Linked DNA regions of Caenorhabditis elegans. The protein of the gene in region 3 interacts with the protein of the main gene of each other region in a biochemical or structural test. Each region holds a gene or a part of one and is shown on either strand. Other genes may lie near its edges.

Region 1 (6,617 bases), on a different chromosome or scaffold from region 3:
ATCCAAAATTGAAAAAAGCTAAAAAGCTTCTTTTTGTTTACACTTCCTAAATTTTTTGCTAGTTTTTACAGTGTTTTAATTGTTTTATTCTAGATTCTAGAATCTAGATTTAACACATTTTTAGCTTAACAAATTTTTCCAGGTTTGCTCCGAAGAATCCATCGAAGAATACGCCCAGTTAATGGAGCAACGTGGTGTTTCAATCTCAAAACTTCGTCTTCTCGATTCTTTGCACTGCCAACATCTCCGATCTCATCCCGTGACGTACACTCAAGAATGCCTAGACTTTGTGAAATCAGGCCATCTACCAGCGAATAGAAGTCGTGTGCCGTTAGAAATAACTGAAGAAGCTGCACAAAATGATGTACCTGAAGAGCTTGCCTACTAGATTCATATCTATAGATTTTTATTGTTTCTCTTAATATTTATAGATGGTAATTCGCATAATTACTTATATATTAATTGACCGGTTCTTCCCATCTCCTTTCCCAACGTTCCATCTCTATGTCCCAGTTTTATTCGCTTTAAAAGCTTTTGCTTGATACTATTGACATTAGATATAAATTATTACTTTTTGAAAGTCCCTGCTATTACACGAAAAAAAGTTTCCTTCCTTCTAAAAAAAACTAAACTAAAAACAGAATCTTGGAAGCGTAAATATTATTTAGATGAGGGGCTCCTTATTACGTATGCCGGTGCGTGCACTTTCTATTTTCTTCCTTTTTTTCTGAATTTTTTATTTTCAGCCAGGCGTTTCCCTTTCGACGTAATTTGTTCTCGAAATCACCTGAAATGTGAATGGGTGGGCAGAGGAAACACAAAAAAAGAGAGAATTCAAATTGATTCTGATGTGATGCCATTTCCACTAATCTCTCAATTCTTACTCCCACCATTTTTTTGCAATGATTTCCGAATTTGTGACTGCTTTTTCGTTCCGATTTCATTTTGATGACCGTGTACAAAAAGATGAGCAGACAACCATAACGAACGCGAAATTGTATGGAATCGTGAGAGACATAAGTATGATTAGAGAAAATACGAAGTTATCAATTATGAGTAGATACTACTGTTGATATTGTAAATTGGAAAGTGAATCACAAATCATGACTATTGGAGACCAATGAAACACTTTCAGATTTATGTTCGAAACTTCGTACCCAACTTGGTTCCGAAATTGGCAAAACTTGGCCAATTCCTGGTTCACGAATGTACAATTCAAAAGCCTCTAGATATCAGCACAAATAAGCCAAATAAAACATGAAGTTAGTAATAATAAAAGATAATTAGCATCGATCGTGTTAGGCCGAATGACTATTCTTATGCAAATTACGGTGTTTCTATGAAAAAATTAAGTGCAAGTGCCGAAAAAAATCTACCAATCAAAATTAACTTTGCAAATGCGATACAAATTCCCAAATGCAATGAACTGATATCTACCGTACTTTCCAAATGGTATGGTACACGGTATGTTACCTTGAATAAAACTTGTTTTGATATCTAGACGAGTTGTTTGGTATGCTGAATAACATGGTAAAACAGTTCAAAAAATTAAAAAATGTTTGTAACTGTAGTCAAAATCTGGCTATTACTAATAATATGTTATCACGTATTACAAATATGAAAGATCTAGGACCGAACATGCAAAAATAGTATAAATTACTTTGAAAAAAAACCTTTTTTTTGCATTGTGCCAAAAACAAAACCTCAAACAATTTCAAAAAGAAAATCAAAATATGTTTAGATTTTGTAAAAATGATCTAGAGTATTTCTGGTCTAGTTGAAGTATGTGCAGACAAAATTCTCGAATGTCATAATCGAACACTCCAGAGTAAAATGTTCATTAACAGTTTTAGTAAATTGCCAAATTTTCCAAAAAATGTTTTCTGGTCGACTTCCAAAATTGGATTTACTGAAACATGAGTTTTTATTACTCTCGGTTTTTATTAATTTGAAAAACCGGATCAGAAAGCTTCAAACCCCTGCAAAAAACGTATTATATTTTAGTTATTATTGGGTGCATAAACAAGATCTATGGGTAAAAGACTAATGAGGTCAGGCCTAAAAAGAATGAAAAACAAGATGAGCTCTGAAAAAGCCAATGAACTTCCAAAAAGATAAGTGGCTGATGGAAAGGCAAATACAGAAGTCAAAGGAGCGGAGAGAAATGAGGGAAAAGAGACGGAGAACGTGAAGCAAGCACACTGACACATTATTTACGGTAACATTTTTCTGCGAACTTTATCCATTTCCTCTCTTTCTCTCTCCATTTACCTTTCTAAATGTCAATTGGGTGGTGGAAAGAGAGAATGAAAAATAGAGAGAATGAGAAACTTCTGGATTCTCTCAATTTTCAATGTTTTCTTTCAATGTTCGTTTGTCTATCTGCGTCTATGGATGTCATGGATCTGGAAAATAGAGAGAAAGAGATAGAGATAGAAAAAGAGAGAAAAAGGAAAAGAACGAGTCAGCAGAGGAAAAGAGACAAGAGTGAGTGTGCGTGTGACTCATTCTCGGGGCCCCCGCCGACTAACCCCCATCGCCATCGTCGTCAACCGATTCGTCATCAACTTCTCTTCCTCTCTATTCAATTCTTATTTGTCAAAAGGTTTTGAAATCAAAATAAAACAAAAATGGAAGAGGATCAAGAGGAACCACCATCCTCATCAACATCATCAGAATCTCCAGAAGTTGTTCTAAAAGCTCCAAAAGCTCCAACTCGAAGAAGGAAAAATTCCAAAAAGGGTTAGTTTGTTTGTCTAGTTCAAAAGTTTTGGAATACTTGATGATAAACCTGTCACAATAGGAAATGGACAATCATGGTTACAAAACTATAGTTTCACTACTATCAAAATGCCAAATTACAACTACCAAACATTTGTGATCTCGTGATTTTATCGTTAATTGATGAAGTTGTTTGTCAAAACATTATATCAATTTGTAGATCTATGTTTAATATGAATTCTTTGAACCCATAAAAAGTTTATGACGCGTGCCAAAAAAAACAGGTGGTTGTTAAAATTGTTTTGTATTTTTCTTAAATGATTTGTAAAATTAAATCATATTGTTTCTTACCAAATTGAAAGTTTTTCTATGCAACAATTTCCTTTCAACTGGACATAAAACACTTAAAAATAGAGTAAACGGTATAATCCTGGCTCCGCCCACTTTTATGAATGTTCATCATTACATTTTAATCATCACAAAAACTACGAGCGAGACTCTAATTCGGAGAGAGACGCAGTGATCGAGAAAAAAAAATCGAGTTGACACGTGATTTTCGATTCCAACGACGCAGCTACTGTAGTGATCGAAGCGGCGCACAGCTTTTCCCGCCCGTTCCATCTGGCAACTGTCTGCGTCTCTTCGTCTTATATGGTCTCTTTTCTTCGAACTGTTTTTTGTTGATAAACGCATATGCCTAGTTTAGCGGAAGTGTAGAGGCATTAGGGTTAGGATCTAGGAACTTGAAACTATATATATATATATATTCCTAGACCATATTCTGTAAACTTGGTAAATTTTTTGAACTTTCATTAAACCTAAATTCTTGATTAATATTTAAAATTGCAATTAACGGTAAAACTATGTTTTTTTGGAAAATCTCTACCTCCTACTCTAGCTTGTCCCCTAGCTTTACTTTGAAGATTTGTATTATTCAAATCCTTCAAAAAAAGCTTAAATATATTATGGTATACAAATCCGACAAACCTCATTTCTCTAAAACCTTCATCTAGAAATTTAACATATTTCAAACCCGACATTTTTTCACAAGAACTACCTAATAAATCACCACAATATGTCTCTCCGCCCTCTCTTGGTTTGAGAGCAATATTTCATTGGTTCGACCTGATTGTGCCAAATGATAAGACTAACAGCTGTTCCTTTCGGAAGTTTCATTATTAGCTCATCAGATCATTTTAGTACACTATTTGGGTTTTTTAAGGTTTTGTCGAAATTTATAGTTAGGTATTTTGAAAACGTTCTTCGAAGTCATATTGACAAAAGTACAATACGAAAATACAAAACACACTATAAGTACAGAAAATTCAAGCAAAAGTTCAAACAATGCTATTTTAAAATTGATTTTGAACGATCGAATGCTATAAAAAATCTAAAATGATCTTACAAATGGCTTATCCCGGCCCTTCGCTTCTCTATTTTACGTCGAATTTCTCGTTATCAAGATTTTTGCAAAGAAGATGTTTAAAAGTTTGTCTTGAAATTTTTTTTAGCTACGTGAGCTGAACTAATTTTCGATGCGTTTATTCTCGAACTTTGGTTTCTTAATTTCCATTTTATCCAGACATATTTTGTTCATTCGTTCTATCCGTTCCCATTCATTTCTTGGAATGAGTCATCGGGCTTTCGTAAATGTTTTGACACACACTTTGCCCCTTTTTTCCTTCCCATCTTTCAGTTTTTAGGCTCTGATTTCTGTTCCATAACATGCATGGGTAATGAGATGAAAGAGGCTATGGCAACTCTTGCGAAACAGTCATATGTTTGATGAAATATTCAGGCGAATCTCTGTTAGTATTTGTTCTCATTTTCTGCAGAAGTTGTTTCAATTTTAGAATGGAACCTGTAGGTAGTTAGTCATTTTGAACTCAGTTTTAGCTAGGTTACCCATAGTAGATCTATCTAGAGAGGTGCATCCTCAGGATCCACTGCCTGCCTCAAACCTACCCGCCCCTCCTGGCTTCATATTTTTGATTCAACGATGTTTGGCGCTCGAATTGTGTTAACTCATGAGTTATTAATATTTCTAGGCACAAGGCAGGCAAGGGTTGCCGTGAAGGCAAGCCAAGTTCCGATGAGGCGCATGAAGCCCTAGTTTCAGCCAATTCCCATCAAACCTGACACTAATCTTTAAAGAACATATTCATGACGTTCTGCTCGTGGAAGACTGATCTGCTCTAATATTTTCTTTTTGATGTTTATCTCTGAGCTTTTCTGGTTCTCTAGTTTCATCTACATTTTCTGTTAGAGAACATCTGAGAATCTTTTTCTTCTTCTCTTTTTTTCACTTTTTCTATTTTCCCACCATCATAAACACAAATTAAAGAACGTGCTTGGATGGAGCATTATGAAAGTTTTTCACTTTCCTTTTTCGTGTCGCGTATTCAAAAACTTTAAACAACATTTCCCACCAACTTTTTCTGCTAATCAGCGTAGTTCCAAGAACATCGTTAACATGTTTTGTTAATCAAATCTAACACGCGTTTCATGATCAATTGATGTTTGTGTTATGAAGTTATCTGAAACATTTTTCTTCATATATATTGAATCTATTTTTTTGTTATGCTTTTCTCGATTCCCGCCAATTTAGGATATATTCTTGTTGGAATTGTACTTCCTAAATGTGCTGATATTTTGGAAAACAATTATTTTCCGGGTCTTTTGATTTGATCTATGATTTTGCAGTGGCTGAATTTTAAATAATTATCAAAGAAATCATAGTTTTTGTAAATATACCTAAAGAACATAACCGTATTTTAATATGGAATTGATCAGAAAATAATCAATCAGTTGTTTCAAGAATCACCAAGAAATGGAAATTTATAATTCTCTATCCTACCAAAAATAGAATCGATTTCAAGTTTTTTCACATAACTAGAAATTTTAAAATAACCACCAGAACCACAGTTAAGGTAAATGGAACACAAAGTTGACTGTAAGGGGTTCGAGGGACGAAAGGCGCCTCGGTCACGCCTCGACCGAGTGGAATGCCTACTAGAAGCACAGCATCAGAGACTGTTCACGACATTTAACAGTTACAGTGATATGGTAAATAACGAATTAGCAATATAATTCTTCCCGTTTGTCTTGAAATTGTAAGCAATTCAGTGTGCTTTCAGTTCATCCTGAAATGTCGGGTTGTTGAGTAGTGAGTCATACTCGCTTATCACCAAAAATGGTTCTCCACCTCCATCTCATTCTCTCATCGTTTCGTTTCGTTTTCTTCTTCTTCGTTTTCCGATTCTCATTCTTCTCTATTTATTTTGTGAATCGATGATGAATAACTCGTTTGATATGAATGTGACACAACATACCAACTCTTCACCATGTAAGGGTTCATTTTAAGAGTGACAGTTTCATTTTCAAATGACACGAATACCAAAAGACTAATTCCAATCTCTGAAGTATTAAAAGTTAACTTTCAGATCGGCGACAGGATATGGAAGTAGATGATGGCGAGAAGGAAAGCACAGCACAGTACTGTAAAGGATTTTATGGTGAGAATTTTGAATATTGAAATGAATGGAAATTTTAAAATAAAAAAAGAAAGTCACAAATTGAGAACTCAAGAATAATCGTTTGCTGATCAAATATTCAAAAAATGGAAATCACAAAGTAAAAACGTCAACAAAACTGTTGTGTGACTGATAAATGAATGTCTTTCTCATCACAATCAGAAGGTGGCATACTACTTTAAAACAATTGTACCACTGTTATGACTGGATGGAAAATGAAAAAAAAACTAACTTAGATATACATAGTCAAGATTTTTTTAAAGTTTTCACCTGAAAAAATTAATTGATTTCAATTTTAAATTTTCTGCACGCCAGAATATCATTAATCCTACACCTAGTACCACAAATTTTGAAAAAAAGTAA
Region 2 (8,434 bases), on a different chromosome or scaffold from region 3:
TTCGGCATTTTTAAAATTTTTGATGTTTTGTTGTTTGTTCTTGCATTTTCTAAATCTAAATAGTTCAATTCCAAAGTTTGATAAGGAGTGTCTTGGTTTAAATTTTCAAGCAAAGATCAATTTCATATTTAACCAACCAGACTGTTGAGATAACCAAAAAAGGATCCCAGAGGAGAGAATGATTCAAAACAATTGTACACGTGGACAGCCATAGACAACATCTTCGAGGGTTTTATGGTGGGGTGACGATGTGTCGACAAAAAGAATATGGCTACTAACTCAAATATGTTGATTTTTGGGAAGTGTTAGAAATACAGGTGACTTGGGAGTGTTCGGATACAAGAGACACAGAGATGTCCCCTGATTGTTTGCAGAAAGCAATTTTTAAGGGTATGACTACAATGTTTGTACATTAATGTTTCAACGGATGAATGTGAAAAACTTGAATATATATTCGATTAACTTTAAAAAAACATTTTTCACAAATGCCGAAAAATGACGAAAATTTTTCGGCATTCGCCGATCTTTTAACCGAAAATTTTTTCGGCGAACGGCATTCGCCGTTCGCCGAACCTTAATTTTCGTTCGGCAAACGACATTTGCCGTTCGCCGTTTGCCGCACACCCCTGAATTGAACGTTTTACTTTAAAAAAAAGGGACATGTTCACTTCGGCAAAGCTGCCTGTTTGAATTTCCTCCAAAAGAAGAAATGCAAGACCAATCGGACGGATTGTGTGGAGTTTGAAGACGCTGATTGGCTCGAAAGTTCAAACGTGTAACAGAGAACCCTGCCATTGAAAAATCACGTTTTTCGACAATGAATTTACATTCTTACCCAATTTTTTCTCGTTTTCTTTGTGGTATTCCAGAAGTTTAAATTATTTTTGATGTTTTCAGGAAAATGATAAAATTTGGCCACTTTTCCTAATGTTCTCTGATATTTCAGCACACGCGTCCATTCTCAGAAAAAAAACACGAATAACTGCTGTTTACCACATTGTACTTTCATCTCTCTTTCAAGGAACTATTTTTTTATTTCTATGTATAATTTTCTTGAGAAGAAGTTTTTATTTTTTAAATAGATACAAACTTTTTTGCGTTGAAGAATTGTTCAAAAAGGTAGTTAGGATAGACAAAAATTCAAATTCAAAACTATTTTTCCAATGAAATTTATTATTGTTTGATCAGTGAAAAAAGTAATATAGAACATCTTTTGTACAGTACACTAATTCGATTTGTGTGCATCTTTACAAAATTGTCTCCTTCATCCAAAAATTGGATTCTAGAAGTAAATTTCATAAAAACAGTATTCTATTATTTTTGTTACGAAAATATTTCACAATTCTCGGAAGAAAACGAGATGATTGTGGTTATTGGGTAAGTGTTCAAAGAATATACATAGAAGTTCCAAATTTAAAGGTGGAGTAGCGTCTGTAAGTTTTTTGCCATAAATGACAGAATAGAGACCCAATATACTAAATATAACTGTTAAAAAATGTAGAAAATGTATGAAATTTTTCTAATTTTTTAATGATTTTTTTCTTAATTTTACAAAAATTTAAAAAAAAGGACTGAATTAAATTTGAACTCCCGCGCAAATGAGTGACGTCATTTTCGAAACTTTTGCGTTTTCAGCCTATATTAATAGGTTTTTCTTCATTTTTCCTTTGTTTTATAATTTGAAATACAGTCTGTCAATTTTTCAGACTAAAAGAAAATGTATGATTAATTTTGAATAATTAAGCCAATTTCAGAGTTTCGGTAAGTTTCTTCGCAATTATCAAGTTTGAAAAATGTTTGAAAAATTGAAAAATTATGTTTCAAATTATAAAACTAATTGTAAGAATAAAGAAAAACCAATTAGTTTGGCCGTAAAACACAAAATGTCGAGAATGACGCCATTAATTTGTGCGAGAATTCAAATTTAAATCGGCCTTTTTGAAAAAATCATAAAAAATTTATTATTATTTTTTGATTTTTTAACAGTTATATTTGGTAAATTGGGACTGTATTCTGTCATTTATGGCAAAAAAACCACTACTTCACCTTATAATTTAAAATTATCCAACTCACTATCTCTGTGTTTCATTTTAGCATCGAGTTATCACTTCCGATGACTAACAAATGGGAAATCTAAGGAATAATGCAGAGATTGAAAAGAATTAGAGAAACAAACAGACAAAATCAAGTATTATTTAACAATTGTAAAGAACAACCAAAAAACCCCACAGGAAAGACCACACAGAATGTGGACCCACGACTTTGGGAGATTAGGCACCTACGAGATTTCATGGCCCAAGTTAATTGGGTAGCGCTTTGAGTTGTCATAAATGTTAATAATTGAGAAAAAGATATTTAAAACTTAAAACGTACATATTAAACTTATTTCTTATAGAATTTACTTTCAAAGCTTTTATTATAGGCGGTCGATTTGTTCTACGGCAACTCTATTCTCCAAAACAGAGTGGTGTCTCTTTTCTGTCTGATTCTCTACTTCTCTACACATTTTCAATCCTAGGTGTGTCTCTCTCTGAAGGATGAAATCTCTATTTCTCTGCATCTCCTATTTGGCTTCAGCCTATCGCTTCTCTTCCGCACACAAACATTCACTCAGTGACGTAACTTTTAATACCTACACTATTTCTCTCTTTCGCATTGTCAACTTATATATATATATATGTATATAGATCATTCCTGTACTATTTAATTTTTAATTATAACTTTTTAAAAAGGTTATTTATGATTTAAAAAAAACAAAATCTAAAGTGTCTTTAAAGTGTAAAAGTAAAAATTGGCAGGCTGGGTATACTGCCTTTTTTCTTCAAGTTTTCGAATCTAAGTAAAAATAAAAAATTTCCCCTGCTTTTTTAATACAATTTTAGTTTGAATTTTACTTGTTGAGAATAATAGACTTCAATTATCTCGATGCAGTATTATGTATTTCACTAATAATTAACAGCAAATACCTCAAAATTACCCCGAACTCGAACTATTGCTAGAATAAACCATTCGAGTAACCCGTGTATTTATTGTAGAGTTCGTGAGAAAAGGATTAAAGGATTAAAGGACGATCCGTTCTTCAAGCGCTATGCACTGCGGATCTGGGAGTCAGGTACACTGCCTGGTGGTGATCCCACTAAAAAAGTAATTAGAGTATTATAGAAAAAATACGATCGCCCAAAAATAAACAACGGCGCAACGACACTCCGCTGTTTCTGAGACCCGCCCACGATTTCATTTGCACTGCGGCCGACACATTTCAGTGCAAATGAAATCTTGGGCGGGGTTTAGAAACGGTGGAGTGTCATTGCGTCGTTGTTTATTTTTGTACGATCGTATTTTTTCTATAATAAAGGTTTAAAAAAAAGAAACACACTATTGGATGTTACATTCCAGTCAACTTGATACCTAAAATATTTAAATTTTCCATTGAAATTAGTGTTGACTTTTGTTTCCTAAATACGAACATCCTTTCAAAACCAAGCGCAAAAAGTGTAAGATCATTCACAACTGAAGTCAAATTTTTGAAGTGTGAACATTTTTTGCGTCATGCAAATATGAAATATGAGTTTATGAGTCGATTAAAAAACATAAAAACCCAAACAAAAACGCTGAAATTTCATTAAATGTTAAAAAATGACTTCTTTATTACAAATCCAAAGTTATGATTAAACATTTAAAGATTAGCTGCAAAGATTATTTATTAAACTACATATCTTTCTATTTTTAGTCTATTTTTTAAACATTGTCAGGTTTAGTTTGCACTTCAAAAAATGAAAACTGTATTTCACTAACAATATGTACATATATCCCCTCCCTCATTTTTTTTCACTCCAGAAATGGAAAGTCAATATTTGGAAAGAAAATAATTTTCCAAACTGTTAGAATCTCCGTTTTTAAGATTTATTGATTTCTACGTGGGTTGAAATGACTCAGTTTTGATGAAACTCAACAATTTTAAGGCATTTTTATCAGTTCCGGTTGGAAAGGAAAATCAGAAACATTTTTGCAAGTGATAAGAATTATGAAATTTTTATAGATTTTTTCAAACGTTTATTTGGAAATTGAAATTATACTTTTAAAAATTTAAGAAAAGCTGAAATTTAATGACTAACGTTTATATTTAATTTTTGAATTTTAAGTATTTCTCCCTGAAACTAATAACTTTTTAGGCACAATAAGATGGAAGTGGATCTGCCGGTACATAACGAGTATGATGCGTCTAGATTTCATCAAGTTACAATTAGGGTTTGTTACTAGATACTTTACCTCCATTCAAATTCATTTTCAGGACCCGATAGCCGGCGCGGACAGCACTTTCACTATTCCAACTCGTTATGTAAACCTTAGTTTTCTGAATGCCGGCGCCCAAGGAACTGTCGTGTGAGTTTTTACTAATTACATTAATATTTTATTGAAGGAAAAATAATAGGGCGAATTTTTTAACGCAGTAAACAAAAAATTTCAATAGACAAACAAATATTAACACTTCAAAGATGTTAATCAAAGATTTGATAGATTGCCAAATTTTCGAATAATTTTTACTTTTTCAAACATTTCACACTTTACTGCAAATTATAGCCCCAATAATGTTCAAATACCAAAAGATAAAATAAATTTTTTGAAAGAACTATGAATTTTAGTCATTTTAGAAACATATGGCTGGTTTCAGAGAATCCTTTCTCTGGTCGTACTCCATCTTTGAATGTCTCACTGCCTTTCAATTGTATATTTTTACACTTTAACTTTTCTTCGGTTTTGCGTAATTTCAAACACTGACACAATGATGACTTCCCGAAAAAAAACGGACCGCCCTATCAAAAAACTTTTAAAACAGGTAGAGGTCTCGAGATCATTGTTATTCGTCATTGCCCGCTGCTCCACCTCTAAGATTGAAAAAGCTTGAAAAAATCAATAATCAAGAAGATCTTCTAGAAGAATGAAAGTGACTGAAATTAAATTATCGCGCAAATGACTTCAAACAGAATTTCTAAGTTAAGTGAACAGCCATAATTTTTATTGATTACATTTAGAATGGCCGATGACCTAGTAACAACGCAACGTGTGGCAATCAAGAAGATGCAACAACCATTTGTGATGACAATGAGCGCAAAGCGAGCATATCGAGAGTTTATACTGCTAACGACTATCAAACACCCAAATGTAAGATTCAGTTGGAATCTAGAAAAAATGCTCCAAATTTCAGATAATCCGTCTACTAAACGCGTTTACACCGGACACTTCACTTTCAACGTTCCGAGAAGTATATCTAGTTATGGAATTAATGACACACAATTTGCACGAGGTTATACATCGATTAAGGTAAGAGACATGGTGGCTGATTTTTATGATTTTTTTTCAGTAATACCAATTTTTATAGTAATATCTAGTATACTAGACGTAATTTAAACTGTATATGATGGACTTGTTAGAGACTAATAGACGTAAAATATTATTTTTCTGTTATTGATTTTGAGAACAAAAGAATAAAAATAAAACAATAGGAAAAGCACGATATCTTAAAGAAGGAGTGGCGGATTCATTTTTGCTCTAATAAACTCAGAACGACTCCAAAATATCAACCTTTTTTGTCTCAATTTCACGTTTAATAAACATATTCAACAATAATAATAAGTTTATTGCTGACACTTTTCAACAAAAAAAACTTTTAAAAAAAGAAAGAAACAAGGGCAAAAGCTAGACTTTCAATTTTGCCGTCTTTCGCGTTTCCCAAGGTCGGAAATACATTTTTATCCAACCTTGAGTACCCACTTGGAAATGTGCCGAAACCATCATCAAAACACGCACAGTTAGCTACCAGAACACGCGTAAAAAAATAAAAAAAATATTCCAGCGTGTTTTGAAAATTTTTGGTCAAGATTTTAGTTAACTACCAAAAATCAGAATTTTTAAAAAAGTTTAGAACACTTGCACATTTGAGCTCCTATTCATGATTGTTCAATGATTCAATGATTGAATATTGAATATAAACACATAATTAGATTCTAAAAAAATTTTCTGAATTATTAGATTGGACCATAAAACATTATCATTCTTCGTCTACCAGAGTTTGTGCGCAATCAAGCATCTTCACAATTCGGGAGTCATTCATCGTGTACGTATCTACCACTATAGACAACATTCTGAAAAATTCAAAGTTTCAGGACTTAAAACCATCGAATATTGTCGTCAACGATCGATGTGTATTAAAAGTTTTAGACTTTGGATTGGCCCGGAAGAAGAATGTGGACACATCGATGAGAATGTCAGATTATGTGGTGACAAGATACTACAGAGCCCCCGAAGTTATATTAGGTCTTCCCTATTCGGAAAAAGGTTTGTTCGAAAAAAAAAAAAATTTTTGTAATTTTGGGCTGGACTTCCATCTGCGCTCCGGTGAGCCGCCTCAAACAGCCTCACGCCGTACGTATCCGCATGTAAAGTGCGCGTAAAACCCCAAACGTGTCGGCCGCTTCCAAACAACACTCTCAATTCATAATTGCAGTAGATATTTGGTCAGTCGGATGTATATTTGCTGAAATGATCAACCATACCGTACTTTTCCCTGGAAAAGATCGAATTGATCAATGGACTAAAATTTATAGTGTTTTGGGAACACCAGATGATCATTTCATTAGTCAATTGGGTCAGTCAGCTGCTATGTATGTTCGATCGTTGCCACGTCATCAGGCACGAGCATTCAGTGAAATCGTTCCTGATACCAATTTTCTGCCGGAGACTGAAAATCCAAGGGTCCATTTGACACGTGAGTCAGGCTATACAGGATTTTGAAAAATAAATCATATTTTCAGCACACGTGGCTCGTGATCTCCTGTTCAATATGTTGAAAATCAATCCTGAAGAAAGGTATTCAGTTGAAGATGCACTGAATCATCCATATGTTAAGTTGTGGTTTAAGGTACAACAATTTTAGCACTAAACAAAAACAATCAAATCATGCATCTCAAATCTTACAGGACGATGAGGTAAACGCCCCCGCATCAGAAAATCGATACGATCAGGAAATTGATTTTGCCGATAAGACACTTATTGAATGGAAAGAGCTAATTTTCAACGAAGTGCAACGCTATCAAGCCGACCACGACATTTTCACTGGATAATAAATAATAAAAAACCTAAAATTGTTTCTTTTTCTCTCAAAAATAATTGTGTTACTTTTTTCTTCAAAAATCTATCTTTCAGTTGTGTTCTGTCACTTAGTTGGCCATATTTTCTGGTGATTCTCTGCTTATTTTCTATATTGATTATAATCACTAAATGTTAATTATTTTGGAATACAGATTTTTTGGAACTGTTTTGTTTTAAGTATAAGAAATTGAACCTTAGCTCCACAAAATTTGCATCTCATTATAAAGTAGGGATTGTTTTTCGATTGTATTGTCAGGTTTAAATTCAAAATTCTAAATCAATAAATTAATTTTTTAGGGACCAGGTCCCCTATGAGGTCGCCACAGCGGCGCCCGCGCCGGCCTCACAGCGTCAATCACAGTGCATGTATCCGAATATATAGTGCGGCAGGGAACCCGATCGTGAAGTCCGCGCCTCACTTAGCTGGGAGACCTATAGGTTTTTTTTCTTCAAAACGATGCTTTAATTTTTGTTCTCAAAAACAAAATGAAGCCAAAATGGGAATCCAGAACGACCGGACATTAAATCACACAGATGGACAATGGTGGTCTTGAATAAGTACATTTATTTCACAAAAATTGAACATTCAGTAAAAGATGAGGTTTGAAGACTGAAAAGTGGGCTGGACAACAGAAAATCGACTTTTGGGTAGTAAAAGATTTTTGATATAAAGATGGGAAATAAAGTATATGGACATTTGGACAAAAAGAGAAACAGAGACGCCTTGAAATGTTTTCAAATGATTCTTTTAGTATTCTATTCTAGAATTAAGAAAAGCGGATGGAAAATATTTTTTTGGAATCTTGATATTTTGTAAGTTTGAACTTTTGGGTTTTGGAATTCCGAATTTTTGTTATTATCATATTATTTTTTGAAAAACCGGAATTTAGCATCAAGTCTGAGAGATTTTATAAAATAAAACTAACAGGAACAGTTTGAACAACAAACAACTAAACACAAACGGATAAATATAGTAACAAAAAACAAAGTTTTGAGGCGTACTAAAAATTTAAGCAATTATGCAAGATTAAAGAAAAATAATGAGAAATGTTTATGAAAGTTCTGAATTTGTTGAAAGTAAAATCAGGGGCTCACAGTGAATATAGAAGTACTCTTGAGAAGAATGTACTCTAAAACCTTTTTTTTAAAGTTGGATGGGAGAAGAACAATAGGTGGAACAAAAAGTACAAAGGCGACGAAAACGTCACAACTCGAGAATTAATTGTTTTTTTTTAATTTTTAAAGGCTTTTCTAAAAATATCCAATGATTCATAAAAATCATTGA
Region 3 (9,582 bases):
TGGCTTACAAGCTGTTCTGACTCAGTGCTTTAATAGTCCTGTGAAAGTGAAAAACTGAAAATTTTTGGGTAATTCTAATTGTTTTTGAAAGTAAAGTATGCATCATTAGTGGAGATTTTTTAAAAACTTCAAATATCTTTAACACTCGATTAAATATTTTTAGATTTTGAAAATGAAAATGAAAATTGAAAACAGTTTTGGAAATTGTGAAATTTTCGAAAAATTGAGCTTTGAGCAATTTCCAGCAAAACCAATTTTAGGTAAGATAAGTAAAAAAGTAAATTTGAAGCTTTGCTCACGTTTTGGGTATCAGCATATACTAGCTAGTCCACAGATATTTCAAATCTTTTTTAATTCAAGTAACATGTTTTCAAGATTTTTAAAGACTGTGTTGCGACACTGGGGAACCTATTTATTCAATTCAGATTTTTAAAACTGTAACAACTGCTCCATCTTTGAGATTTAGGAAATATTTGAAATCGTAAAGTGAATAAATTTTAGACTAAAATATTTGTTTCCCGCATAAAACTAAAATATCCTGTTATTACTGTTTCTTCCCGAAAACACCTGTATCCACCGAATAGTACAAGCATGTCGCGTGGTAGCTTTCATTCTCCTTGTCCCACTTCTCACTTCTCTCTCCAAATTTCTTCTTTTTTTTTCCAAAATAAAAATTCAAATTCCGTTGTCTTTTCATTTCGGCACCGGTACGCACACACCGGTATCACGTCATTCAAGAAAAAGGGAAAAGGTGGAAAAAGTGCATTTTCTGCGTCTATTGTGATTGGAGTACTATCTAGGGCACGATCGGGAAGAAACAAGGGAGTAGAAGGAAATTGAAAAGATTTGGGAAAAAAGAAGTGTGAAACTGTTGTACTGTACAAACAGAACATTTTGAATTTTAAACATCAGAAGCTGGAAAAGTTTCAGAGATTTGGTAGTCTTTTTATTGGAGCTTGGAAGTTAACATTTCATGATTTACTGGCCAAAACGTCCCCTGATTTAAAATATTTCGAGTAAATTGATGAATTATTGAAAATCTTTTTGGAGATATTTGTAGCTCGGTTTTGAACTTGTAAATATTTTTAAAAAATTTCCGTAACGGGTAGTCATATTGAAAATATGATAAAATGTTTTGGAAGCTGAGCTTTTTTGAGATCGCATCAATATAAGTTCCTGGCTCTGGTAAATCTATTGAGCTCGGTGTCAGTCTAATCAAGATCGATGTCAGCAGAAGCTGGCTGTACAGCCCTTGATTGGACTGAGTTTCAGAAAGCTCAAATGTTGTTTTCAAAATGCAACCTAGCTTCAGATCATAACGAAAGTATAGCATGTTTCATAGAAATTGGAAATACTTTCTTGAAACAAGTAAATGATTATTTTGCACCCAATGTTTGATGACTACCTCATGTCTTTCATTAGTATGGCATGCAATTTCAAAATTTAAATTATAATATTTCCTCTATTTGTCCTCTACTACTCTACTGCGCCATTTTAAAAAAGTAACAGCTCGGTCCATTGTGAAGATATTAGTGAATAAGTAAATTCAAGCGACAGACAAATAATTTTTGAAAAATGTTGTCAGTTGGCAATTTCTCAATAGAACAAATGACAACTGATATAAGCTGTAAACGTTTAGATTTTATTTTATTTGAGCTAGGCCCCTCTCATCCAAAAAGGTTATTAAAAGTTTATTGCCTGTTAAATTTATAGACTTAGACATCCATCCAAATATTTAAATGTTGCTGTTGCTTTTGGGTCAACAAACGACACATACCTGTTAGTGTCATCCTTCGTTCCGCGTGCACGCATCGCACTGAATCATCGGTATTCATCACCTCTTCTCTGCAATCAACGAGCCAAATGCCAATTGGGTTATTTGAGTTAGAAACTCGGGAAGCTTCACAGAAGAAATAATTAGCTGAATTGGCAAAGAGAGCACCTGCTCCCCGGAATGTCATACTTTTGTAGAATAAAAGAAGGGAAGACGACGACGTCTCCGGTTCTTCTATCCCAAACAATACCATTTTTTGTTTCCCATCTCGTCTTCGATGTTGCTGACTCACCATCAATATCTAAACAGAAAGCACCCAATGGTTCGCCTTTTTTGTCTCCTTTCTCGACAGTTTCTGTTTTTTTTTGTATGTTACATAAATACCGTACACCCACCATCTAGTCAATTGTCACATATTCGAAATCAAAAGTTATCAAAAACTCTCGTGCACTTTAATACACAGTTCCGTCGGCCACCCCGTCACCAGCCGGCGTTTTCTTGGTGATATCATTGGCGGTGGCTCTTTGAAAATTCAAATTTGGTGTCGTCCTCCCGAAGGTGTGGGCGGAGCTTGCGCACCGTTCGCGGTGGCCGTTGCTCTCGACAGTTTTCTCTTTCCCTCGCTCCTTTCTTCTCTCAACCAAACACCTGCCCACACACGCAACTTACTTTTGTCATCGCTGGTCCCCTGTCCAAAGATACAATCAACCCGTGTTGTGCTAATCATCACCTAGAAGAGTCATCTTCGTGAATCAGAATCCCTTTTCTTCCCCCTACTTTTTCCACTTCTATTCCCGGTTACTCACCTTCTGTGTTTGGCCCCGATCGTGTGTCAGCACCTCTGCTATATAAGAGAGTGGAATGTTCGAACAACCATCGTCGACGACTAACACCACCACGAGCTCTGGTTCTGGCTCCGATTCCAATCACTACTTCGAATTGGGTCCCAGGAACCCGATCAACCAAGCGCACCCGACATCAGTCATTGTTCCACCGCGACAACATCACCATCAGATCCACCAACAACAAACCGACAACTCACCTCTAACTCCGTGTACACCATATTATCCATCAAATGCATATGGACTCCCTTTATTCTTTGGAACTGATTTCCTGCAGGTATGATACATCACAAATATCTTCCTTAATTCAGTGTTTACTTCAAAGTCCACTATTCCCTTGCTAATAATCACGAGTTTTGATAGAGCTTTTAAATCATTACTTTCACTCATTTTTCACTCAACCTCGAGCCTTACATTTGTCAGTTGATCTCTTCTTTCCCATATAAAAATGAGATTATAGTAGCTTACTTTCATTTAGTTTAATATTAATTCTGAAAGTATCAAACCAAAAAGTAAAGCGTTCACTAATTCTTTTGTGCAAAAGTCATGCAGAAAAAAGTTACCTAGCTCTTGAATCTTTTCCCTCAAAAATGTTCTTACCAGCCATCTCCCCCGGATTTTAGTTCCGGAAAAATAAAACTATTTGGTTATGGATTAAATGTATATGGATAGGTGGTGCACGAGGAATCTTAAAAGAAGATGCCGACGTGTTTACACACTTCTACAGTAATCTATCTATCTTTCACCTTTCCCCCAATTGTTACTTTTGTGATCTTCTTTACCTCTCATGCACTCGCTAATCCGTTTTGGATTGTTTCCTGTTTGCACCTGTTGAAAAAAGATAAGTAATACTTATATGTTAACTTTTTTCGGTGCCAGTGAAAATATTACAGGCACGCAAATTTTTTAAATATTCAAAAAATATCTGTCACTTCTGCTTTGAGCTTGGGACCTACGAATAAAAAGAGATCACGTGTTTTAGCGTTCCTTCTTTGCGCTGACAACTTTTTACCAGTTTTCTTAGAATTATTGTCGCTGAAGACCAGACTTACAAAAATAATTTTTGAGCTTTATTTGTAAATAAAACAAACTTTAACAAAAAATGTAATAAACTGGCAAATGTGAACTCAGAACAATTATATTCACAGGTATTCTATTTCATTTTGAACATGTAGGTGTGAAACAGTATTCTTTTCAGTTCTAAATCAGTTTAACCCACTGAGAATTTTGACAAATGACGGTGAAAAAGGAAGAGTTGATAAAAAAATGATAAGACAATTGAAACCTTTTAATTATCAATTTCCAACACTTACTGAAAGAAAAACTATTTCTAGCGAACGCACCAATGTAGAATACCCATCTTTCTGCTTTGTTGGTTTTTGATAGGCTTTGATAAGTAGATTTTAAATTACCGTATATCTTCTATTAATATGGCCTCCCTATTAGACTTGCACTCCCTATTAGTATTGCCCCTCGGAGACCTTCCGAAAATTAGTATTGCACTCCCTATTAGTCTTGCACTCTCTAATAGTCTTGCGTTAACTTTTTTGTATTGCAAACCCGTCTCGCTAATTTCAGGATTTCAACAACATTTTTTGCCTATTTGGCAACAGTTTTCACATCATTTCTACGAGATTGAAGTTTTTGAACTTATATGAAAATCAAATTTTCTGAATTTTTACATATGATTCGAGCTTTTTCAGGAAAAAACTAGTAAGCTCAAAGTCAGAAAATGTTCTGAAAATTAGTATTGCACTCCATAATAGTCTTGCACTCCCTATTAGTATTGCAAGCGGGAAGGAATCGAAAAATAGTATTGCAGCCATATTAATAGAAGAAATACGGTATTAAATTATCAAAATTTACGAAAATATTTGAAACATATTTCATCAGTTGGAACAATACAGATATAATTCGCTGAAATAGAGCAAAAAGTGAAACAACTTTTTTATATTCTGAGTTTTACATAAATGTTTTCTTTTAATTTTTGCTTGATGTAGGTCATCAGGACAACGAATTCTGGTTATTACGGTTCATTTTATCACTCTACGTCTTTTGAAAATTTTTGCTTATACTGCTATCTAATTGCCAAAAAAAAGATTATAGTTTTTGAAGTGTCTTGAGTCGTAAACCATCTCTCTTTCTTCACAGTCCGCCTTTAGTCCTATAGTCAATCGTCAAACAAATACCGTATTTCCTCCTAGAATGGGCGGGGCGTTCTTTCCCCCTTCACCTATACACACACTTCATCATCTTCATCATCACTGCCGTTCCACTATTTTCTTGATTTGCTTATCAATATCATAATACTCATTGCTCACTCACCTCTAGAACTGCAAGTGTCACGTCATTACATAATGACTCATCAGGACGTATCATGGATGTTTGGGGCGAACCCATATGACGATAGTTACAATTTTAATTATGGATATGAGGAGGATGTAAGAGTTTAGAAGTTGAAATTAATTAAATTGAATTAAATAGGTAGAATAAAAAATTGTGGAAGGAAGATATATAGATATGCCAAATATTCGTGCTATAAAACTAATTTCAGTTCCAACCATCTGATATCCCATCTCCGCTCACACCGAACATCAGCTCGCCACTTACGCCACATCCATTTGGTAAGCAAGAGATATAATTAAGGTCCACGAGCATGGAAACTTCAGGTCCGATCCCAGCAATCCCGACTAATCAAATCTACAATCGAACATTCACCGATTTCTACTCGACGGCAGCTTCATCGCCTATGGTACAGTATAGCACGGTGAAGAAATCGTCGGCTGGGAGAAAACCTAAAGAAGAGGTGGGCAAGTTATCTACAAGTTATGGGTTACTTAGTTATGGGTTAGTTAAGTTACTTACTAAAAATTTGAATTATTGTTTAAAACCGAGTTGCTGCTATTCTAGAATATCCACTACTACACTTTAGCAATTTGCCGTATTTTTCCTACTAGGCTTGCCCCCTCGTTTTACCTTGACAGAGCATATCCCAGTTCTCTTTGGTTTTATCAAAACTTTGTCAACTCACAAAAAACGTGCAAAATATTTTTTTATATTATGATAGTAAAACATATTCAATAAAGCTTATGACAGCCGCGATATGAGCCGTCAAAGTATAGCAAAAAAGATTGTTACGTATTTTTCTCTAGTTTTTAAAACATGATTTACAATAATAGTTCAAAAATACGTCGAGATATATGAGCCAAGAAAGTTTTTTGAAAAATTTGAATAATTGGATTTCAAATTAAAAAAGAAAAGATAAGCTCCGAAACATTCAAAATACAATATTCTAGCATTGACATTTTTTACAATTAAGCGATTTGCGTCAACTTGAAAATTAAAATGCCAACTTGAAAGTTCTTCATGCTTATTTTAAGTAACAAAGTTTAGCTCGCCGTATTCACTCAATAATTTATTTTTGATAGACAGCCATTATAAAGTTTAAATGACAAAACTCACTTTTTGAATGTGGTATATGCCGGCATGACAAGCATGATTTTTGAATATTTCAAAACTTCAGTGGGGCATTTTTGTAAGTATAGCCAGAAATAAATATAAACGAACGTATTGGGCGAATAGCTGCTTTCTATTACAAAAATATAAGAGTTTGCGATTAGAAACTTGAGACACAGTAGACAAAAACAAGTAGGCAGGTATGAGAACTAGGCAGTGGGTGGAGATTCGAGTGTGTATGTTCATGGCAACACCTTCAACTCCTCTCAAATGACTCACAGTTTTCATTTTTCGTTTTTGACTCATACACTGTCCCATAGAACGCTCTCAAATTTCGTCATCATTGCAAGCCAAAGCTAGTCATTCGAATCTGACTCATTTTCACTGAAACCTCTCTCTGCTACTCTAGTCTATTTTTTTTTTCAATTCTTGTTTCCAAACATTTCGGTGTTTCTTCAAACCGTTGAGATGACGTGGCAGTATCACAATAAAACTGCGATCTATATGGTAAGATTGATGGAGCTTTGAAGGTTGATACGACCTTGCTTATGTATTTTTGTGATGGTTTCATGAACATGCAAAAGAAGCATCTAGAATTAACAGTGGCATTGCGAAATTAGTCACCACTAACGTACTGATAACAATTAAGTATGACGCGGAAAAAATAGAAGTACTGTAGATTAACGTTTATGGACGAGGGAAGTTACTATGGCGGGTAGGTCAAAGCAATTATATATTGAAAGGGGTTTGTACCATTTCAAGTTAGATTTCCCTGATATCCTTAACCTGGATAATACGGTCATTTTTGGTTTACCAAAAAGTCTTTGAATTTTGAAAAATTTCGAAAAAAAGAATGTAAGCCAAATAGGAAAATTACGGTATTCAGTGGAATTTACCCATAATTTACATTAGGTTTGCCGACATTGAAAAGTTACTGATAAATCTAAATTTCAAAATTACAGTAGACTTTGATTTTTTAGTTTAATTTTGCTCTAAGTTACTTGGTTACTTTTCTAACTTTCTGAGCTTGGCAACTTTTTCTTGTCTGTTACGCTTACCTAGAAATACATTTATGAAAAAAACATTTAGTTGAATTAGTTTTGCTGAACAAAAATTCCAACCCGAGCCTTCAAAACTGATAAAGTTAAAATTTGCAGTAGTCAAACTTTGGGCACTACTCATAATATATTTACAAATTGAATGCTCTTGCCCTTCTTTCGTCCATTTCTTTTTTCATTTTTAGATAGACGCCCTTTCCTGCCCACCAGGTACACTATGCAAAGTAAATATATTAGTCATCACGCAATATTGTATCTACATCCCTCGCTCTTTCGTACACCCTACCTTCCCAGTCTTCACCTAAAAGCTTAGAGAGACACCCACCCCAAGCAGAGGGGAAAATGAGCCACTTGACAAGAAATATAACGAAATGGATAATCTTTTGAGTAATCAGAGAAAATATTAACAAATCCTCAAAATACGGAAACTTAGAGTCAATGATTTTCAGGATAATATGGAGGATGACGATGATGATAAGAGGCTGAAACGTCGTCAAAGGAATAAAGAAGCTGCTGCAAGATGTCGGCAAAGGAGAATTGATTTGATGAAGGAATTGCAAGATGTAATAGTTTTATTCAAAAATAATTACATTCACCAAATAAAAAATTAGGATATTTTAATTGCAGTGGGGTATCTACCTTTAGTGAACACTTAAATTTTGAAGCAATTTTCAGTTAAGCATAACTCAAAAACTATACAGCTTCTCTAAATACTTTCAACAAGCAAAATGTTGATGATAACTTTGGCTACATTTTTGCCGTTGGAAAATTGTTAGCAATCTCACCCTGGAAAAAGTTATAGCAGCTGACAACTTGCTGGCCCAGTTTTGACTATTTCTATTGGAATCTTCTTAACTCAATAACAGAACGTTTTCATAGAAAACAAAATTTAAAATTGATTGCAATGTTCTAGATTCAGAAATGCCGGTAAAAAATTCAAAATTTTAAATATTTCAGAAAACAGTTTTGGGCCTAGTTCCAAGAATTTAGTAGTTTTTATAATTAACTTTCAAACATTTTTTAACTTATAAATTCACTATGATTTGCAATATATTTCAGTTTCATTTTGAAAAAAAACCACACTTATAGGTTTTTTTAGACTTCAAAATAGGAAGTTTCAACATTGTATTAAAGATAAATTTCACGATCTATTTTCAGCAAGTAAATGACTTCAAAAATAGCAACGACAAAAAAATGGCGGAATGCAACAACATCCGAAATAAGCTCAACAGTCTCAAAAACTATTTGGAAACGCATGATTGTAAACTGAGTCGCGAAGAACGAACACATGAGATAAATCGATTGATAATCCCACCATCAACAGTTCCACCATCACAACCATATCTTCAACATTCGTTGAGAGTTCATCCACCACGTGCTGACTCTGTACCATATTCTATTCGATCAGGACATTCATCTTCATCGTCTGAACAACACTCACCAGTTGAGGACTATAAGCCTTCAATTGATCAATTACTTCTTCCTCCAATCTCATGTATTCAAAATATCAAAGATCGAAATATCAATTCTATGCCACCACCAGCTTTACCGGCAAGCACGAGTGCTGCTGGAATTCATGTTATCACTTCTATCCCGGTTTCGCATGCCAACTCATTACACGGTCGTTCGGAAAACGTTTTCGCAGAACCGGAACGCAAAGTGAGTACATTCATTTTAATTTATTGAATCTTTTACATTACATTTTACTTCAGATTCCAAAAATCGAGTTGGACCAAACACTGACATCATTGACCATGCCAGACGACGTTGAACGTCCGTCAGCTCTTCCGACGCTTTCCAGAATCGTTGAAAATCAGCCGATCACTACTCCCAGCAGGCCTTTCCGTCTCGGGGGGGAATATCAAAATCAAACACCGCAGAGTACAGGGAATGGACTATTCGGAGGCCCACCAGGTAGTTTATTTAATCGGATTGTAGCCAATGAATAAAAATTGTATTTTTTACAATATTGCAATTCTTAATCCTAAATCTGAGTCTCATCGCGAGCAAAACTTTTCAGCTACCGTACCCGAGCTCTTCTAGTTTCTACCAATATTTTCACGTGGTGTCAGTCTGTACCATCACGGGTTGATCTACAAAAAATTCGGGAATTTATTCCCTTAAAAAATGTGACGCCATCACGTTCTTAACCATGCGATACTTGAAGTATGCGTCTAAATTCCCGCGATTCTCGGAGATCAAACCGATATAGGACACTCTGACACCACGTGTATTTTGAGATATCAATATTGCAATAATCATACAAAAATTGGAATATTTTGAAAAAACTCAACGTTAAATATAAAAAATGTTAAAATTGGAACTACAATTGCGAGTACGGTAGCTGGAAAGTTGTTGGCGTGCCAAGACCCAGAAATTTGCATAATTTTAATTCAAATGCCGATATTTCTACAATATACGAAAATTTTCTTAAATTTTTCCAGTTTCATCC

The links.
Region 1: of the proteins of fos-1 (region 3) and jun-1, one has a biochemical effect on the other in vitro, tested with the Caenorhabditis elegans proteins (one study listed by BioGRID).
Region 2: of the proteins of fos-1 (region 3) and kgb-1, one has a biochemical effect on the other in vitro, tested with the Caenorhabditis elegans proteins (2 studies listed by BioGRID).

The regions. Positions count from the first base shown.
Region 1 is NC_003280.10:9,110,661-9,117,277, forward strand, and holds the start of jun-1 (Transcription factor jun-1), read left to right. Parts: upstream 1-2,496; 5' UTR 2,497-2,630; coding exon 2,631-2,742; intron 2,743-5,956; exon of another isoform or gene 5,957-6,015; coding exon of another isoform or gene 6,016-6,067; intron 6,068-6,164; coding exon 6,165-6,236; intron 6,237-6,617. Other genes in the region: T24H10.4 (Transmembrane protein 53), read left to right, coding at 143-388. UniProt on the Caenorhabditis elegans protein: Transcription factor that recognizes and binds to the AP-1 non-canonical enhancer heptamer motif 5'-TTAGTCA-3'. Required for ovulation. Controls plc-1 expression in the spermatheca to regulate spermathecal valve dilation.
Region 2 is NC_003282.8:404,635-413,068, reverse strand, and holds kgb-1 (GLH-binding kinase 1), read left to right. Parts: upstream 1-3,035; 5' UTR 3,036-3,112; intron 3,113-3,196; exon of another isoform or gene 3,197-3,307; intron 3,308-4,172; 5' UTR 4,173-4,182; coding exon 4,183-4,248; intron 4,249-4,291; coding exon 4,292-4,383; intron 4,384-5,033; coding exon 5,034-5,163; intron 5,164-5,206; coding exon 5,207-5,322; intron 5,323-6,030; coding exon 6,031-6,115; intron 6,116-6,164; coding exon 6,165-6,336; intron 6,337-6,505; coding exon 6,506-6,766; intron 6,767-6,812; coding exon 6,813-6,919; intron 6,920-6,977; coding exon 6,978-7,121; 3' UTR 7,122-7,448; downstream 7,449-8,434. UniProt on the Caenorhabditis elegans protein: Mitogen-activated protein kinase which is an essential component of the JNK pathway composed of mlk-1, mek-1 and kgb-1.
Region 3 is NC_003283.11:6,005,931-6,015,512, forward strand, and holds the start of fos-1 (Transcription factor fos-1), read left to right. Parts: upstream 1-2,635; coding exon 2,636-2,893; intron 2,894-4,762; exon of another isoform or gene 4,763-4,817; intron 4,818-5,170; coding exon 5,171-5,240; intron 5,241-5,285; coding exon 5,286-5,422; intron 5,423-7,350; exon of another isoform or gene 7,351-7,473; intron 7,474-7,579; coding exon 7,580-7,693; intron 7,694-8,288; coding exon 8,289-8,789; intron 8,790-8,842; coding exon 8,843-9,044; intron 9,045-9,582. UniProt on the Caenorhabditis elegans protein: Developmentally regulated transcription factor which binds and recognizes the enhancer DNA sequence 5'-TGA[CG]TCA-3'.